Linked DNA regions of Notamacropus eugenii. The protein of the gene in region 1 interacts with the protein of each later gene in a biochemical or structural test. Links are inferred from orthologs where the notes say so. Each region holds a gene or a part of one and is shown on either strand. Other genes may lie near its edges.

Region 1 (10,831 bases):
GCAACTTGGGCTGGGGGGGGGGGGGTCCCCGCCGGCGGGAGCCTCTACACACTACCCAAAAAGCAAGGTTTTGAGCCCGATCCCATCAAATCCCACAGCTCTTTCTCCTCCCCTCCCACCACGAAACAAACCAGAACTCTACTAGACATTATTCGCTAAAAAACGCGGCGGAGGAGGAAGAAGGGAGGGAGGAAGGAAGGGAGGAAGGCGGGGGAGCAAGGCGCTGACAGTTTGGAAGGCGGAGGAGCAGAGGACTCGCTCCTCCCGGGGCCCGGGGATCTGAGCCCCCCGGCTCCGGGCGACGACGGGGGGACGCCTCCCAAAGTGACAGTTAGAGGCCGGGCCCGCCGGCGGGGACGCGGCCCTGGGCCCAGCAGCCCGCCCACCTGCCCGCCCGGGGAGCCCAGGGGAGGCCCCGGTCCCGCCGACACCGACCTGTGGTGGAGCCCCCGGCTGGGCCGCGGCCCTCGCAGCAGCAGCAGCGGCGGTGGTGGTGGTGGTGATGGTGGTAGCAGCAGCAGGCGCCGCCGCCGCCCGGCTCCTCCTCCTCCGCCTCCTCCGGCCGCCGCCTCCTCTTGCCCCTTCGCTGCCGCCACCGCCGGGGCTCATGCGGGACCCGCGCTTCCTTCTCCGGGGCCCGGGGGAAGGACAGGAGCCCGCAGGGCCGCCGGGGACCCCTCGCTCTTCTCCGGCCGCAGCCGCCGCCGCCGCTCCCCCCACCCCGGGGGGGCTCAGGGGCCCGCTCGGCCGGTGCTGGGCAGCGGACGGACGGGCAGCTCCGCGCGGGGCCCGGAGCAGGAGGAAGCGCCGCCGCCACCCGAGGGGGCTCTGGGCCGGGGCGCGGGGCGCACGGCGGAGCCGGCCTCGGGGGGAGGTGGAGGTGGAGGAGGCGGCAGCAGCGGAAGAGGCGGCGGCGGCGGAGGGGACGGGCGGGTGGAGAGGAGAGGAGAGCAGTGCGTGTCGGGGGAGAGGGGAGGTCGGGGCGGGCAAGGGGCCCTGTCGTCTCCTATAGTCACCCCGAACCCAGCGCCACCATCTTGGGAGAAACACGGATATCACGGCCGCGGCGCAATCTGGGAGGACTGGCGGGGCGGGCGGAGTATCCCGACAGGCAACGCGAGCGCCACCCGGGCCTGGCTGGGCGCAGGGGCTCAGGCCTGGGAAAGCTGAGGGGTGGGGACAGCGTGGGGGAAGCCCGGAGGAAAGGCAGGAGGCGGGGCAGCGGCGGCAGCCAGGGACCGGGGGCGGGGGGCGGGGACGGACCATAGAGTCTCCGGGTTCCTCCCCTTTTCTCTCCCTCGCACGGCCCGTTGCCCTTTGGCTTGCCGTCGTCACCGCCGGCTGCAGAGGCGGCTGGGAAAGGGGGCCCACTTCAGGCCGCCCGGCGCCCCTCCGCGCCCCGCGGCCATCTTGGAGTCGGGCAGAGACGGGGCCCCGGTGAAACGAGAGCCCCAGGCCGGCGCCGTGGGGCCTGGGCAGCCCCGGGCTCTGTTCGCGCTGGGAGGCCCTCCTAGAACCGGGAGGGAGTCGATCCCCTCCTCCCCCTCACGCAGGGATCACTAACCTGGAATAGATTCCAGGGGGTCCTTGAACTTGAATGGGGGAAAGAAATGGCATCCTGATTTTCGGCGACCTCTAACTGAAAGTTGGCATTAGGAATACGGGCGGCGCATTCCTAGCCCAGCCACAACCCCCCCTTCCGCTGGAAGCCTTCCCCTTAATGCCCCCTGTAGCCTCGAACAGCTAGTTCGTTTCTCCGACGTCGTGCCAGGTCTTCGAAAACCAAGGACGCACGCAGCGAGCTGGTTCATACACCGCGGTTTGCCTGGGGTCTCCCGGTGTAGACGGGTTTTCCCCGGTTTTCAGCCCAGCGCCGGCCCTCAGGGGTCTCCCAGTCTGCAAACAGCAGGGTGCCAGTAAGATGCATACAGGAGAGTGCACACGTACATAGGTGCGGATGTTTAAATGTGTGTGTATACAGATACGTGTATACAATGTATCTATATGTCTACTTGTATGCCTGCCTATTCATATACATACGAGTGTGTGTGCGTATATATATATATACGCACACACACACACATACATACATACATACATACATACATACATACATACATATATATACGTATATAGAGAGAGAGTGATAGCAGGCACAACGTTGGTTCCGGGAAGGGGTCCATAGGCGACCCACAGAAATGGCTAACAGCCTCTGCCATCAAGGTTCTTAAGTCTTTTCTTCCAAGCTCCAAAGTGAGTCTAGGATAGGTCTGTCCTCTTTCCTAGTTCCTAGTTTGCCCTCTTTCCATGCCTTCTGACATACACAAATCCTGAAGTCTCACTTATAATCCTGTCTTCTGCATAAAACCTTTCCTAGTTCCCTTTAAAGCTAATACCTTTCCCCTGAGATAACTTCCAATTTCCTCTGTATGTATCTTGTTTGTACACAGTTGTTTGCAGAGGGTCTCCCACCATTAGGTTGTGAGGTCTTTGTCTTTTGCCTTTCTTTTTATCTCCAGCAGGTAGCACATTTCTTGGTCAGTTGCATCTGACTCTACGTAACCCCATGGAGTACCGAAGTAAGTGAACCTCCAAGTTAAGGAACTAGGAACATAGAATGACAACTGGAAGCCTTGGAGGCTACAGAGTTTAATCCCCTTCTAAAGATGAGGAACTGATTTTGCCCAAGGTGACCCAAGTAGTGGTTTAAAAGAGATCTTGATCAGAACGCTACTGGAAGTCTGGCCAAGACCTTCCTTACTCAGTGAACATAAGCTCCAGTATCTTTTCCCTAAAACCCAACCCTCTGGAGGCAGCTGAGTGGGGCAGAGCATTGGGCTTCAAGGCAGGAAGAACTAAACCCTCACGCAGATCCACAACTCCTTTGTCATCCTAGATTCCTCACTCTCACCAATCCAGTCAGTTGTCAAATCTTTCCATTTCTGGTTCTACAACAACTTTGTTGTATTTACTATTCTCTCCACACTTACTGTCACCACCCTAACTCAAGCAATCTTCACCTGGACTATTGCAATAGCTTCCTAGTTGGTCTCCCTGATTCAAGTCTCCATGCAGCCAATAAAGCCATTTTGCTATGGGTCTGACCATGCCACCCTCAAGAACTCAATAAGCCTCAATGACTCTGAACTCCTTTACCTGGATTTTCACAACCTTCTTATCCTTAGAGTCTTGGACCTTATTCTGTCCCATATTCTGCTATCCAGCCATACTTACCTATTTTTTCTTCTGGCTCCATGCTTTTACACTCTTCCTGGAATGTGCCCTCTCTGCCTCTGCAACTTAGAATCTCTGGTTTTTCTTTTATATTCTACTCAACCATCTTTTACATGAAGCCTTCCTCCAACTGCTAATGCCTTCTCTCCTCAAACTACCCTGTGTCCAGTTTGTATATATTCTGTATATATTTCTATATGTGCCTGTTATCTACTGACTTAGAATTTCATCTTTTTGTGTGTAAGGGTTACTTTTTTTTTTAATCTCCAACTCAGCACAGTTCCTGGAATGTAGCAGACACTTAATAATTACTTCTTTGATCTATCTGAACTAGGTCAAGGGGTATTTTCATTTTTAGTCTACAGTGAATAGCTAAATAATTTCTAATTCTACGTTTTAGTCACAAAGCATTCTGAGCCTCCATAGTGCATAGAATGTTGGAGCTGGAGTCAGGAAAGCCCAGTTTAAAATCCAAGCTCAGATACTTAATAGCTGTGTGACTGGGCAGATCTCTTCACCTTTCTGGGTCTCAGTTTCCTCATCTATAAAATAAGGGGGTTGTATTTGGTAACATGTAAGGTTCCTTTTAGCTCTGAATCTATGAGCCTATGTGTACTACTTTGTACATTATTTCATACTTAAAAGATTCTCAATTCACAAATAATGTATATGTAAGTACTACCAACAGAAAGAAATCAGATACCCTTTTCTTGAGTTACTGTGTTAGATATTTATATGTACATATATGTACACGTGTGTAATTATAATGCATGTGCATATTATATATATATATATATATGCACACAAATATATGTTGGTTGTTATGATGTATGCATATAGACAGGTATCCTGGTGATCGGCTTTCCGATTATAAGCTTTGCAGTACTGTTCAGTCATTCAGCCTTATCTAGCCCTTTTACGACCCCATGAACCATATCACACCAGCACTATCCTTGGGGTTTTCTTGGCAGAGATACTGGAGTGGTTTGCCATTCCTTTTCCAATGGATTAAGGCAAACAGAGGTTAAAGGACTTGCCCAGGGTCACTAGCTGTGTCTGAGGCAGCATCTGAACTCAGGTCTTCCTGACTCCAGCCTCAATGCTGTATCCACTGAGCTGCCTCTTTTCAGTACCTACTTACCTCAGCAGCTTCCTGACAAGAAAATTTTGCTGGGTCGCAACCTTTATAGTTTGATAGGGCTTGACTGAGCATGCATTCTACCAGCATAGTCTTCACTTGTTTTTGGTCAGTTGAGTTGTGTCCAACTGTTCATGACCCCATGGGCCATAATATGCCGTAGGATTTTCTCGACAGAGATAGTGGAGTAGTTTGTTATTACCTTCTCTAGTGGGTTAAGGTCAACAGAGGTTAAGCGACTTTCCCAGGGTCACATCTGAACTCAGACCTCCCTGACTTGAGACCCAGCACTCTAGCCATGGAGCCTCCACAGCTACTTTTTAAACCTTTAGTTACCCAGAGTTAATTCCATCCCATGGCAAAGCTTTAGAACAATTATATTCATAAAATATTACACGATATTCAAGACATTGACTTAGGTGCTCAGAATGCAAAGACAAAACAAATAAACAGCACACAGTGTATTCACTGATAAATAGGAAGTCATGTTGCATGTGGGAGAGAACACTAACAGCTAAGCAGCGTGGCAGGGAGGGAGCAACTGAGTTGAGCCTTGAAAGGAACCAGAGATTCCAAGAGATAAGGTTCACTGGATCATAGATTCAGAAGTGAACTCAGAGGCTGTTTGATACAACCCTTTTATTTTACAGGTAAGGAAGGGAATAGACCTTACAGGAAGAATTGACCTGCCTATGACCTACCCATGGTCACACAGCAAGCTCAATAAGAAACTGGGCATTTCAGGCATGGGGCACAGCCTGGGCAAAGTCTCAGAGATGGACAATAGAATCCTGTGTATGAGAAACAGCAAGTAGGCCAATTTGTCCAAAATTTAAAATTTATATTAATATTATTATATCTGTTATTGCTCTAGAAACTATGGTTCCTTCTGCCTAAGGAACTCCCAATGTGGAAACCCTTTTCATCACCGGAGATCAGCAACTTGTCTGTAACTTGACAGTTACAGAGAGTTGAATAATTAAGGGATTTGTACTCGGTCACAGAGTATGTGTTGGAAACCTAAATCTATGATCCTATGACTTGAACAGAGGTCTCTGGGTCCTCAAGGCCAGCCTTCTCCCTTCTAACATAATGCTGCCTCTCTAAAAAATGATCTTATGTAGAATATAGAGTTAGCATGCCAAATTATATGTATTTGTGTAGAAGGTAGCAAAGCACAGTGGAAAAGGCTAAGAGATGATAACTGACTTACCCAAAGTCACACAGCTGATAAAAGCTAGAGCCACATCTTCCCTTTGTCCTTCTCTCCTTGCTAGGATGTAAGCCTTCTGATGCTTACTGCTGTTATTATAATATACCTGATAAGTGGTCATGCAGCTTCTACTTAAAAACCATCTCAGCAGATGGGCTAAACCAGTTTGAGGATAACCTGCAGGGCTCTAATACGTCAGTGAATTACTGGAATGTCTACCCCAAGCATGAGAAGACTTCTGTCAGAATGGGCAGATGAGAACAATTTGTTCCAATAACTGCAGAGATAGCGGTGGGGTGCTTTTAGCTTGATCAGACATCAAAGACACCAAGATCATCCATTGTATCCTGGGCAATTGATTTTTGTCTTGTCACTGAATCTTGATGACTCTGGAAGAGTGAGGCTGATGACATTGTGCAACTCTGCCTCACTTAAATCCAGTTCACTAGGCAAGTCAACCTCTCCCTCTTATCATTGGTCCCCTTCAAAAACTAAGGACAAAAAACTTTAAAACCTGCATTGATTAGGAACCTACCACTTCCAAAAGCTTTGAGCTCTAATTGTTAGGAATTTTTTCCACTGTTTCTATTATACCAGAACACTTCATACTTTGCCATTTGGAGAATGAAATAGACCAAGCAAATTCAGGACAAATTTAGACATAAGAAAAAACTTCCTAACAATTTGTGCCATTCCAAAGTGGAATGGTGTTATCTTTTTGTTTTATTTATTATTGTCTAACTTTCTATTCTTCTACGATTGATTCTTTGTCCTCATCTCTTAATGGCTATTCCAGATATTCTCTTCTTAAACCCACTGTTTTCTCTCTTAAGGTCCTTGTCTACTACTTTATTAAGAATTTGGAGGCCATCTGTAAATGAGATAGTTGGCCCTCATTGGAGGTCTTAAAGAACAAGTTAGATGACCAGTTGTTGGGTGTATTGTAGCAGGAATTCTTGCTCAGTAACAGGTTCTACCACATAAAACCTGTTCTATTATATCCCCTCTCAAATCCCTTTCTACTTGGAGTTTATGTGAAAAAAGTTTGAAGAAATTTAACCATGCCTGATCTTAAGCTGTCTTCTGGTCAACCTATTACTTGGGAGATTTACAAGTTGTTGTTTTTTCTTTAGCTTGTTCACTTTTACTTCTTTAAGGTGTTCTTATAGGCATTTTAAAGAATGAAGTACAGCTAAAATCATAGTATGTTCATCCCTTACCAAAGAAGGAAGATAGAATATTTTTATAACTTTGACAAATTAAATAAATGTCTAACAAGATGAAAAAATAATGAAATAATGTTCATTTTGCTTGTCACGCTGATTGAGGGAACAGTGCTGGGAGGTGGAATTTACTATTTTTTTCTCTAACATGTTTTATCATGCAGAGTTTCAAGGTGTGGCAGAGAAAACACTATTAGAAGTCTGAAGATAAAAATTTTAGCCCTAGAAGGACCACTTGAAACCCTGGCAGACACTGAGCAACGTTTGAAAAAAGTTCAAAAACGATGATTCTTAGCCATTCCAACACTGTCACTGCAGAAGTTGACCTCAAAGGCTTTAAAGAAGGCATTTCATATTTTTCTCTTTTTTTATGAGTGGTGATGGCCTCTGAACTCAGTTAAGCTGAACCTCAAACATTAGATACAATCTGTCACCAGGACCATATTAAGTCTTTCTAAAGTGGTAGATTCTGCCAGAGATTATGCTCTGCTGACAGTCTCAGGAAATTCAAGGTCATCCCCATGTCTCAATCATAAAAACCATTTCCCAATGGACAGGTGGTCCAAGGATATAGTTTTCAAAAGAGTATTAAATACAAGCTACCATCTGAAAAATTGTTCAAAAGTACTAATAGAGAAATGCAGATTAAAATAAATCTGATGTATTCTTTGACACCTATCAAATTAGCAAAGAGAAGAAAATTCATTGAAGGGCAGTGGGGAGAAAGACATGCTAATTCTTTGTGAAGCTGTGAATTGGTTAAACTATTGTGGAAAATAATTTAAAATGCATAAAAGTTAATAAATTTCTCATGCCATGTGAATATTTTTTGCATGATTCCACATGTATAATCCCTTTCGAAGGGGAGAGAGAGGGAAGGAAGGGAGAGAATTTGGAACTCAAAATTTTTTTAGATGAATATTAAAAACGTTTTTACATGTAATTGGGAAGTATTTGATGAAATTAAAAAATATATATATATGTTAAAATTATTCATGCTCTTTGACCTACAGATAATGCTACCAGGATTATACCCACAAGGAGGTTATTATTCACCGCTCATTCTTAGGAACTAAAATATATAAACATTAATTTCACTTTAAGCATCTAGTATCCCAGTTGAGCAGCTTCCTCAGTTCTCATAACCTGCAGCTTCATTCTCTTTAGCTGCCCATAGGGTTGGTCATCCTTTAAATCTTTTCTCCCTTCACAGTTTAGACCAGGGGGTGGGGAACTTGGGACCTTAAGGCCATATGTGTCCTTCTATGGCCTTGGCTAAGGCCTTTTGACTGAGTCCAAGTTTTACGGAACAAATCCTTTTATTAAGGGAATTTGTTCTGTGAAGTCTGGATTCAGTCAAAGGGCTGCACTTGAGGACCTGGAGGCCTCATGTGGCCTGAAGGTCACACCTGGTTCCCCACCCCTGGTTTAGACCTTATAGTGGACAGGTTAGCTCTACACTGTCCTCCACACAGAACTCACTTGCTCTCTTGTTCCACTGCCATGTAAGTCTTGCCAGGCCTTAACCCTGGACTGCTCACTCCCTGCTGCCCCACTGCCAATCTGCCTTCTCCACTTGGGTTCCCAGGCTTCTGAATGCTGCTGGGGCAACTCACCTGTGTGCCAACTGGGTCTAAATTAATGTTACCTAATTTCAACTAAGCCTTCAATCCTGTTCTTATTTCTTTTTTTCTGTGATAGATTCTCTGTCCTTCATCCTTCCAGATACACTCTTTTTAAACTCACCTTTTTTCCTTAACATATGTCCTTATCTATGTCTGGCTAGAAAGCCTCCTTTTCCAGGCATGCATACCACTTAAAGCTCCAGCTATAGCTGCTATAGCAGTCCAATCTGAACTCACTCCCTTAAGCATCCCAGGCACTGGCACATTGCATCCCAGAAAGGAGACTGCTACTACCTTTGGTATACTAGGAGAATTTATCTCCTTAACATGAGCTTCTACTGGTGTGCTTTTAACAATCTACCAATAGACTTTCTGGCTCTGATTCTGACTTTCTAATATTTACTCAAATGGTATAGCAAGAATAGTGGTTAAAAAGCAAATTCCTGCAAACCAGTCACACTTTACAACAAAAATGTACAGAATACATGGGCATGAACCTAAAGTATAATTACAGTGAGCCATAATGTGCAGGGATCACGTGTCCAGACAACTCACAACTCTGGAAATGCAAGGTCTCAATGTTCTTTCTTCAGAGGGAAGTTATCTCATGGAGTTCTCTGTGGGATGTGGAGCTGGTGATGGATAACTTCTACAATGCCAACTCCTCACTTGCTAGGCTGTCAAAGCAGATCATTTAGGTGTTGTACTACCTCCTCACTAGGACTGGCTGCTTCTGAGTTGGACCAGGAAATTGCTTGGCTATTGGGCATGACTGATTTTGGTCTGAACCAGACAGGTCATTTGACTACTGGCCTTATGCTGGAATGGCTGTTGCTACATATATATTGCTAGGATCTTGAATAAGTTGGAGTTTGTTCAAATCTAGACTGACATAACAGGGACATGCTTAGATGTGGATATACCAAAGCCAAAGTATTTACTTCCTGTCAAACCAATAACTTCTTTAGCAAATTTTAGTCTCCTTCTAATGTAGCCTTAGTATCAATAGTCTTTGTTACTTACTCCATAGAGTCCTAATCCTTTCAAAGGCTGCAAAGAAGTTTTTCTCACTTAGTTTTTCTCTCTTAGAAATCTTGGTACATAATAGTCACCTGAGATCCACTGTCCAATACAGGAAATTTACGGTCTTTACTGTCACTTCAGGGGCAGGGCAGTTATAGCAGGTTCCAATAAATCCAGGTCAAGGAATCAATATGTAACTAGAGTTGAGTTCAAACTTGGTGTCCATTGCTGGCTTCATCTCCATGTCTTGATATTCTCAGTAATTCAGCTTCTCACACATGAACTCTGCTTTCTTCTATTAGGTTTGCACGTAACCCCTATATCCATCTTAGTTATTATTTAAGCAGAATGTAGTTCTGCCCCTCCATTTGGTCTCTGTTGGTGGTGTCTTTCCATTAGGTAGTTGTGACTTCAGGTCCCTGCACACCTGGCTTTCTCCTAGTGTAACAGCACTGTCTACAATTCTTTTTCTCAGCAGGTTTTCTGTAAGTACTTACCCTTGAGTCTAGGTGATTAGAGATGGTTTCTTGCCCTGTTTCTAGGGTCCACACATAGGAAGATGCTGAGGAGCTGAGTTTTTTCCAAGTTAGATTATTCACTGCAGTTTGGAAATGATTTGTAAATTGGTTTACTATGTCTGGCAACTGATCACATTTTGACTGCTTTCACTTCAGCTCTTTGGAGTAAACAATACCCTGGACATTTGCCCATAGTCTAATTACACTTTTTTATTTCTCTTTGTGGTTGACTTTTCACCCAAATTACAAACTTAAAGGTTCTTTCTCCTTTTCACTGAATGGCTCAACATATGCTTCTTGTGGTGTCATCACTATTACATTACTTTTCTAGTTTCCACACGCATCTTTGCAATGTGAGTTCATGTTGTGAAGTCTTTAGACCCTCTACAATTCCAAAACCTAAGTAGCAATTACCCTCTTTTTTTCCACTTCATAAACCTGCCAGTGCTATACTGCTTCAGTCTAGTTTGTCACTCAGAAATGGTTCCTTTTCCTGAGAAAAGGCAATATCTACTCCTAAGATTGCCCTGTGGTACAACTCTGTGCATTGTGGAGCATGGACACTTATTGGCATCTGTAGCTGCTTCTACTTTTCAGATAGCTTTCAACTTAAGTTTAGTTCCAATAATATGTCTCTAGATACTTCATTGATTAACAGTCTTAACCCCATTCAGTATCCTGTCATCTTCTGGGAAAAGCCTGGTAATCAGTCTCTAAGTTCTTTCTGAAACTCTTATGCTACCAGGGATTTTAGAAGAGTCCATAGCCTCAGGTAACTTACTCAAAAGACTGTTTTGATCACTTTCCTCATATCACTTGGTGAATACCTCATATCCCAAAGTCTCAATAGTATCTTG
Region 2 (10,104 bases), on another chromosome or scaffold:
TCCTTCATTAAAATCCTCACATGACAGATGAATTTCATTATAGAACATGATATAAAAATGGCCCTTCAAAATACTAAATACATCTGCCAGTGTGTTATGGAATAAAAAAAAATTCCTGAGTCTTTAGACAAAAGATCTTGGTTTGAATCCTGGCTTGATTAGTTATTGCCTATGTGATCTTAGGCCATTTTAATCATTTTTTGTGTTTCGGTCTCCTCACCTATAAAATGAGGGAGTGGGACTAGATGCTGTCCAAGGGTTGGGTGCAGTTTGGTGCAGTAGAAAGAGTACTAAATGTTTTTAGTCAGGAGAACAAAGTGTGAATCCTGGCTCTGTTACTTGTTCCCTGTGAGAGTTTGGACTTTCTTTACTTTTCTGGGCCCAAATCCCCTTATATTTAAAAGAGGAAGTTTGTATACATGATATCTAAATTTCAATCCAGTTCTCAAGCTAATGAAATTAGGATCTTGCATCCTTTCCTGCTTTAAATCTTATGAATCCTAGAGTTAACTAGATAACATACATTTTTTTTTTTACAATTTTCTTAATATGTAAGCAAGCCATGAGATAATAAAATCCCCAAAGTAAACACTTGAAACACCCATGTAAGAGGAAATGTCCTGTAAAAAGATGATATAGAGATGAAAAATTAGCTGATTTTCAAGTGAGGGTCAGTCCTAGCCCTAGTTAAATAAATGCCTATAATCATTCTCTGTAGATGGCTGTCACTTCCTTGGAGAAGGAAAATTCTTTTTAGGGTTTTTTAAAATGCTAAAGAACTAGCACAGTTTATGACCCTCTAAAGAGGCATCTACACCCACTTTTTCTTGTTTTAAGGGGAGCCATTTATGTAAAGAACTCTTGAAACAATATAATTAAATAGTGGAAAAAGCATTAGTTCTGGAATCAGAGGACCAGGGTTTGAATCCTATCTCAGATAACTATTACTTTTGTGACCTTGGGGACATTATTTAACCTCTCTGGACCTTAGTTTCCTCATTTATAAAATGAGGAGGTTGGATTAGATCAGAAGTCTATGGGAACTGAAGTTTGTTTTTGTATGGCTGATGAACTAAGAATGGTTTTTAAATATTTTATTTAGTTTTTAAATACTTTATTTCAAAAGAAATACTTTGTAGCTAAATATTGAAATACTTAAATTAAAAATGCAAAATCATTTTTTAGCTCTCAAGTCTTACGAAAACCAGTTGCAGAATGGAGTTGGCTCTCAAGTCGTAATTTGTCAACCTCTGGATCAGAGGACCTTTTGGTTCTCTTCCAAATCTATAAAAATGGGAAATCTGGTGAAGTTAAGAAAAAAAAAAAAAGACACTAGCAATGTAGACTGCCGAAATAAATCACTACATAGTACAATATAATGTTTTATTTCCTCAGTATTGATATAAAATTGTTCTTAGCCAATTCGACTTTATATCTTCATTCAAAGATTGGAAACATGGAAGCACGAGGTCAATATAACCTTCCTTGTCTATGGAAGCACATTGTTCTAAAGGTTAGATGGGTGGCCATAGTTTTATATTTAAAAGAAAACAAAAAGTAAGAACGAGTTTTCACGTCTTCCAGTTCAGTCCTAACCACGGAGATGACATTTTATTATTTTAATGATTTTAATTTCTTGAGTTATTTAGACTCCAGGCACTCATTTTTTTTCATACAGGTTTAAATTTCTGACACCCTGAAAGTTTGGTTCAGTAGTTAAGATTCTTCCCTGGTCAATTGGAGGAAATTCAATTCATAATCAGGAGCCTTCTTTCGAAGGCTCCATCACCAATCTCTCTGCCAGTATTGCAATGCCCACCATAGCATAGCCACTGTCAATTATGGATTTGCTCACCCCTTCCCAAAAAAGCAAGGAACAAGACATGAATTAGAAGCTGGGATTTTTAGAAGAGTGGATAAATTACCTCAAATCAAGAATTAAAGGTGGGGCATGATCAGCACCATGGTGGTCGCTTTCCTTCCTTTTCCCCAACCCTCAGCAATGTCAAAAAGGGGTAGTTCTAAGCCCACTGAGGGTTAGGAAAACAAGGAGCACTGCCCAGTAACCATAAGCTTATTCAGAAGCATTTTCTGTGGACAATAGATGGACCAGACTCATCATATTCCTGTTTGCTGATCCACATCTGTTGGAAGGTAGATAGGCTGGCCAGAATGGAACCACCAATCCAGACTGAGTACTTACGCTCCGGAGGAGCAATGACTTTGATTTTCATGGTGCTAGGTGCCAGGGCCAAGATTTCCTTCTGCATCCGATCGGCAATGCCAGGGTACATAGTGCTGCCCCCAGAGAGCACAGTGTTGGCATAGAGGTCCTTGCGGATGTCCACATCACATTTCATGATGGAATTGAAAGTTGTTTCATGGATCCCACTGGACTCAATGCCTAGAAAAGATGGCTGGAAAATGGCTTCAGGGCACCGGAACCGTTCATTCCCAATGGTGATTACCTGCCCATCAGGGAGTTCATAGCTCCGTTCCAGGGAGGATGATGTGGAAGCACTGATCATCTCTTGCTCAAAATCCAAGGCTACATAGCACAATTTCTCCTTGACATCACGCACTATTTCCCGCTCTGCTGTAGTGGTGAAGTTGTAGCCACGCTCAGTGAGAATCTTCATGAGATAGTTGGTCAGTTCCCGACCTGCTAAATCCAGGCGTAAGATGGCATGGGGCAGGGCATACCCTTCATAAATGGGCACAGTGTGAGTGACTCCATCTCCAGAGTCCATGACAATGCCCGTTGTCCGTCCAGAAGCATAGAGGGACAGCACAGCCTGGATAGCCACATACATGGCGGGTGTGTTGAAGGCCTCAAACATGATCTGAGTCATTTTCTCCCGGTTGATCTTGGGATTGAGGGGTGCCTCAGTGAGTAGGATGGGGTGCTCGTCAGGGGCCACACGCAGCTCATTATAGAAAGTATGATGCCAGATCTTCTCCATGTCATCCCAGTTGGTGACCACCCCATGCTCAATGGGATACTTCAGAGTGAGAACGCCTCTCTTGCTCTGGGCCTCATCTCCAACATAGCTGTCCTTCTGGCCCATCCCTACCATGACACCCTGGTGTTTAGGTCGTCCAACAATAGATGGGAACACAGCCCGTGGGGCATCATCACCACCAAAACCTGCCTTGCACATCCCCGACCCATTATCTATTACCAGGGCAGACAGATCTTCATCAGTCATGGTGCTGGCTGGATCTTGCAGAAGGTGAGGTTTGAGTTCAAATGCAGAAGATATACTGGTGCCAATCAGCATACGGGAGTAGAAAAGAGGGTCAAATTAGCTGTAACCTCTCTAGAAGTAGTACAGGAGAAAAACACTTAGTTGTGACAAGAGGCTTTAAAAGAAGCACACTGACTCCACCCATGCCTTGTCTCATTACATCACACCCCCAACCCTCCTAGTGCTCCCAGTTAGGATCTCCTTCTAGGTGTTAATAATGATTTTGTAGACCTTCTATCATAAAGAGGAAAATTAGCTACCAAATCCACCAGTGACTGTAATTAGAAAACCCACAGAAGGATGTCCGGCTGCTATGGTAGTGACCCTGGATAAACATGGTGATGCAATATCGAATATTAAAAGATGAAAGGCTAGGATGAAAGGCTACAAGAAGATCAACTCTATTCTCTCGTTTGCCCTTGGGGAAGGAATTCTTCATGTGAGATAGAACTTCTGATGGTGTGTAATATTGATATTTACATACTTGCATTGGTCTGCATATGACATGTATAATGATAGCTCTCAATACTTATAGCTCTTAGCCATGGTGGATAGCTCTGTGAGGAGGGTTAATGTAAAGGATAAAATAATTTCATAGCTGAGGGAATACTGACTACTTCAATCAGAATCCCATTTGCACCTTGTGCAGTTTAGAGATATTTAATAAAAACAGAAGAGGTGGCACCATAGCGTACAGAGTGCTGGGCCTGGAGTCAAGAAGACTCATCTTCCTGAGTTCAAATCTGGCCCCAGGTACTTATGAGTTGCATGATGCTGAGCAAGTCACTTAGCCCTGTATGCCTCAGTTTCTTCATCTGTAAAATGAGTTGGAGTAGGAAATGGCAAACCACTCCAGTATCTTTGCCAAGAAAGAAAGCCCCAAATGGGGTCACAAAGAGTCAGACATGATTGAAATGACTAACTAGTAGAAACAAAATTTTGAAACCATTAAAGATGAAGTTAGAGAGGATTATTAAAAAACTAGTCAACAACATTTATTAATGTTAATATATTATATTATATATAATACATAATTATATATATTATAATTATATATAAATTAATCCCTACTATGTTTCAGGAATCATACTAAATGATGGGAATATAAAAACAAGCAAAAAGAAATACAGAAACAGTTTGTGCTCAAAGAATTACCCTTTAGTTGGGGAAGACAGCATGTACAAAGATCATCTATCCTTAGACAAATCAATCAGAAAAAGATGATGGATGAGAAGACTTGAGAGCAAGGAAGTGACTCAGATCCCTCCTTCTGGATTTACATTCTAAAGCAACAAACATTCACTAAAATCTTCTATATTCAAGGTTAGACCCTTTCCCCCAGGAGTCTGCAGATTTGCTGAACCTCTGCTAGATGCTTGTGGGTACCTGGTACTAATTAGAAGTTAAAATAGCACCCATTCATTGGCATCTAAGACGACATGGCTGTTTTATTAAAATAAATAATATTAGATACAGTAATTTGAAAACCTGCAGATGTAAAGAAAAAAAAAACCTTGGTCCTTAAAGAATTCTTACATTTTAGATTAAGAAAATAAAACTAAATGGTTTTGTACTCATTAGAATACAAATAAAAGTACTAGCCTTGGTGCTCCTTCTGCCTCTCATTTCTGGACTTTTTATCCTGGGCTAGCTTCAAGCATTAATTTCCATTTTATTTGTATTATATGAAGACTAGGACAGTTTTTAACACATGATACATTTAGTAGGACAATAACAATGAATTAGGAAGTTCATTACTATTTTCCCCTCACCGACTGTCAAAACAGGAAGTAATCTCTCCCATCAGTGCTTCTATAAAACAAAATGATTATCGGTACCCATATTTCTCATGCATGACTCTCCAGTTTCATTAGAGTTGTATCCAATCTATTCTGTGCCCAGAATTGCCTCTTCCAGCTCTGAATTTGCAGAGCTGGTCCTGGCACTTTGCCCAGGGGCCTCCTTATACTGGGTTGCAACACCAGACTGTGATCATCCAGACCATGGCTTCCTTTTCAAGCTGAATACAGAATTATCCTCCTCTGCATGTTGTCTGTTCTTTTCCTTAATGAACCCTTAAAACCTCTCCCTCTATCCCTGGAGGTCTACATTTGGCTAGAATTTGTGCTTCTCCCAGAGACACTTTTCTTGCTTTCTACCAGAAATTACTTTTCCCTTAATCTTTTTCTGTAACTGCCAAACCTGTCCATCTTGGAACAAACAATACTAAACAATTTCTCTTCCCACCAAAGCTGACTGGCTCTGGGTTTTTTTTAGCTTCCTTATTAAACAATGCAATAGATCTTTGAGATAAAATAACATTTTGTGGTTAAAAATGATACCACTGCAATATTTCTTTGCTCACCTCCCCACTTTAATATTTATCATATGCTTATGCTGCAAAAAAAATCAAATGGCATGTAGCACAAAACTTTGTTTGCAAAATCTCTTGGTGAATCAAAGCCATATCAATGAAAACAAGAGACTGAGCCCAGCACAGCATGAAGCATAACTATGCCAGATGCTGGATTGATGGAGCCCTGTCTTGGGAGTGTTCCATGAAAAAAATGCCATCTCAAATAGAAGCCATGAATGCCACACACTCAGAGTGAGGCTGATTTGTCACTTTGCTCAGTCATTTAACCCTCTGTTGTGCATTTGGTTTCCTCAAGGAGGGTCTTGTCTATTGGTTATTATAGAAAGTGTTTTTAATTAGCTCCTGCAATTTGGGGGGGATGTTAATTAAACTGCCATTTAAAAACCTGATCCCCCCCAAGCTGGTTAAATGCAAAAGGAACTGAAGCTATGGAAGTGATACCATAAAAAGGGAACAAAAAGGAGAGGAAGCTAGCTTTTCAACTGCAGCACTCTTGGAAGATGTTCCCAAACACAATTACATCCTTCATGGTTATGTTGCATTTTATGAATCAATATTTTAAGCCAGTCACTGAAAAAGCCTCAGAATGGAAGAGACCCCTCTTTAGCTGACTGCATGATGGTGGAATTCATATTTTGTTCTTCATTTTGATCTTTGTAGCAGGAAAAAAATCTACCTTGCTATTTACAATTTAGAATCCAAATCAGTAAAAGAATTGCATATGGGTTAGATGTAACTGCCCATTTAAACTAATGTGGACACATTCTAAAAAGGAGTAATTCAGATCAAGAAAGGGAAAATAGAATGTTCTTTGTGACTGTAGTTGGCCCCTTGGAAGCTTTCTTCAGCTTCATTCAGCCATCTCTAATGTACAAAGAGTCAGTACTTGGGGGTCCTTAGGGTGGGAGCTATGGGCAACAATTAAATGGTGTTGCCAGCCTTGAGATGACAGAGAACCCCGATTATGTTCTTGGAAACCTATGGAGCAGGAAAACTAAAGGGCAAAAGGGGATGGAGGCTAGATTGGGGGAGGGCCTAGAAGGGGCATCCAAGATAGGATTCCTGGATTGTGCATCTGGGGAATAGGAAGCAGTGTAAATCTTTGGTTGAAACATGGTATTGAGGTAGAGGATCACCATAGTAAGGAAGCTTTAACTTGCATGACAACCAAAGACCCAAGCTGGACCTCTTACTGCATCTCTTGCTACTGTCCCCACTTTTCCACTCATATAACTACCATCCTAGTCCAAACCCTTCTCATATTTTGCATAAGGGGGTCTGGATAGTATTTACTTCACCTCTAGGTATAGGGGAAAGAAAGAGGGACTAGGGAATAAGCATTTATATAGGGCCTACTATGTGCTGGGAACTGTGCCAAGCACTTTTACAGTTAATATAACATTTCATCTTCTCAATAATGCTGCAAGGTAGGTAGTGTTATTATCCGCATTTTACAGTTGAGAAAACTGAAGCAGACAGAGGCTAAGTGACTTGCTCAGGTTCACATAGCTAGTAAGTGTCTGAAGAAGGATTTTAACTTAAGTCTTCATGACTCCACCTAGCTGGTGGTACAGTGAATAAAGTGCTGGGCTCAGTCAGGACGTCTTGAGTTCAAATCCTGCCTCTGATACTTATTAACTACGTGAATCTGGGCAAATCACTTAATCCCTGTCTGCCTCAGTTTCCTCAGCTGTAAAACAGGGATTATAGTACCTAACTTGCAAGATTACTGTGAAGATCAAATGTGATAATATTTGTAAAGTGCTTAACCCAGTGCCTGGCACATAATAATAGCCACTTAATAAATACTTTCCCCCCCTTTCCCTTGTCTTGACAGTGAATTTTTAAGTAATTGAGTTATTTAATGGTGCGTTACAGCTGAGCTAAACTGTCTCCCTTTATTCCACCAACCTGATTTCCCAGCTGGTCTCTGTTCCAGTTCTCTCCACTATCTTCCTCTCCTCACCTACTGAAGAGATTTTCCTGCTTCCTTATTCAATAAACTTCAATGGACCCTAATTACCTCTAGCAAATAAAAACCACTCTCTGTTTGGCATTCAAAGCCCTTCTTCCAACTTATCCCCACCTGCCTTTCCACCTTTTTAATATATCATTCTCCTTCTTTCATTCAAGGGTCCAGACATACTGACCCTTGGGTAATTTCTCACATTCACATAGAAATATGTCTAAAATACTCAAACATGAACAGGAAATTAAACTACGATACCCTCCTTTAAGCAAAACTATATAAAGAAAAAATGATGAATTTATATCAAAAACTCTGTGATGAGTTGAGATCAAAGCCGATTTGCTTTTTTGTCATCACTTTTGCAATGTGTACTGTGAATGTATAAATATAGAGAAATATGGTCCTTGATGAAAAGCTTTTATGTTCACTAACTATTCTTACTTATTATTTGATTGTTTTATCAGGCATTTTTCAATAAAAGGTATCTGAAATAAATTCACCTGCTTGCTACAGAAGTGAATCAACTGAATTAGTAATTATTAAAATATTCTTTACAAATAGACTGTCTCCTAGAACATGAACTATTTCAAAAATAGTGATACTTATTCAGTCATATTACACCCAATAACAACATTTTTTGTGCCCTTAATAAAATAATTGAAATGTTTATTGCCTTCTTTATCTTTTAAAATTTTGATATTTTACATTTTATTTTGCTCATATGTACATACATTAACAGAATAATTATGTACATAATTTGTAGATGTGTGTACTTATATAAACTAAATCTCAAGTCTGGAACATTTGTAAAGACTCTATTCATCAGTGGAAAGAAAAATGACTGGATGCTCTGTGCCTGTATGAGGGGAGCTATTGACCCAAGAACTTTGGAGAAGAGATACATTCTTCTTCCTTCGTGCTTTTGAGAGAGAGAGAGACAGAGCGAGCGCGAGCGTTTTCATCTTTAAATATCTAAATACATAATCATCAAATGAGATATCTATAAAGTACTTTGAAAACCTTGAAGCATTATATAAATGCTATTATTATGATGACGATAATTAGTAGTACTGGTAGTAATAGTATCCAATGGCACATGGAAAGGAGTAAGCTTATCCACTATTGAAAGTTGCTGTGGTATGATGGGTATTTCTGTGGTAGCAGAGAGACTAGGGGTGGATTTTGGGGGAGAGGATTTGAAAGAAGTTTCCTGATTATAATGATAAAGGGTGAAAAGAATGAGAGAAATATGATGGGTATACGCATGGATTTCCCAGCCATGATGGAGTCATTTTGGCAACTAGAGGACAAACCCCACCTTACAACCATGACAGTGTGCAAGGTTGAAGTTGAATTCTGATCCCATAAGCCAAAAGGAGAATATAGGTGGCTGTCAGACCACAAGGAGGGCTATTAGTCTTGCTGCAAGAGTAGCAGAGAGAGAGAGAGGACTTGCATAACTCATTTCATAAGGTCTTATGGTCCTGACATAAACGAATTGGGAAATATTTCTCAAGATAGCCTTATAAAAACCAAGTCCTTTATATTGGGAAGGGATAAATAAGTTATATTTTGCACAGAAGAAATTGAAAGGAAATCTGGAAAACCACAAATATTCTTCCAATGTGAAAACAAGTTATTAATTTCTTAGGGCCAGTTAAATTTCAGAACAAACCAAAAAAAAAAATGAGAAAATGATTGGACTGAGAAGGCATTTTCAGTAATGAAATGTCTCCTCTATCATCTAAAATGAAATGACTCTGTTAAAAATGCTTTAGTGGGGAAGAGTGTGTTATATAGTGATTGATAAAGAAATGAAAATTGTACCAAGAAGTCATGCATATTCTTTGGTTGGCTGGCATGTTTACTATAGAGTCAATAAAATATCAGTTATCATACCAAAGGAGGTGATGCCTACACTTCCATAAGGGTTTGACTATTATGCTGAGAGGTGGATGGTAATGGGATGGGAGCTTCTCAGGTAGAGATCCAGGACTGGGAAAATCAGGCTAGGGGTCAGAGTCCCAGATTATTAACCTAGGAGTTAAAATTCCAGTGGTTGCTGGAAGTGTCTGAAAGTCAAGAAATAAAATAAAGAATAATCAGATTTTAAATGTCAAAGCAAGCAAAGATATGTTGGTCTAGAAGTAAGGCTGGTGAAGACTCAACCTTAAGTAGAACATCAAAATGAGCCCAGACTTAAAGAAGGCTGGGTTTCCATTGTCCTGATGACCATATAATATATTTATATGTTTATATATAAAATATATACATATATACACATATAATATTTTATTATTATATATATATGTATACCATGTATATATACCATGATGTATATATACCATCAATTATATATATGATCACACTGGATGTGGATAGCTTTGGGCTCACAAATACATACAGATAAGTGAGTGTATCCAAGTGGAGAAGGCTGAGGATTCTGGTATGTACTGTTCTCGGCTAGAGTTAAAGCTGAATGAAGAAACCTTAGTCAAACTGGTTTGTTC

The links. The genes of interacting proteins can lie anywhere in the genome.
Region 2: the proteins of UBE3A (region 1) and beta-actin-like protein 2 form a complex in vitro, tested with the Homo sapiens proteins (2 studies listed by BioGRID). The link is inferred for Notamacropus eugenii from reciprocal best matches to the Homo sapiens genes UBE3A and ACTBL2.

Annotation. Positions count from the first base shown.
Region 1 is NC_092876.1:404,782,884-404,793,714, reverse strand, and holds the start of UBE3A (ubiquitin-protein ligase E3A), read right to left. Parts: upstream 5,688-10,831; 5' UTR 5,586-5,687; intron 1,584-5,585; exon of another isoform or gene 1,565-1,583; intron 561-1,564; exon of another isoform or gene 436-560; intron 1-435. UniProt on the Homo sapiens protein: E3 ubiquitin-protein ligase which accepts ubiquitin from an E2 ubiquitin-conjugating enzyme in the form of a thioester and transfers it to its substrates.
Region 2 is NC_092875.1:404,643,977-404,654,080, reverse strand, and holds beta-actin-like protein 2, read right to left. Parts: upstream 3,210-10,104; coding exon 2,079-3,209; downstream 1-2,078. UniProt on the Homo sapiens protein: Actins are highly conserved proteins that are involved in various types of cell motility and are ubiquitously expressed in all eukaryotic cells.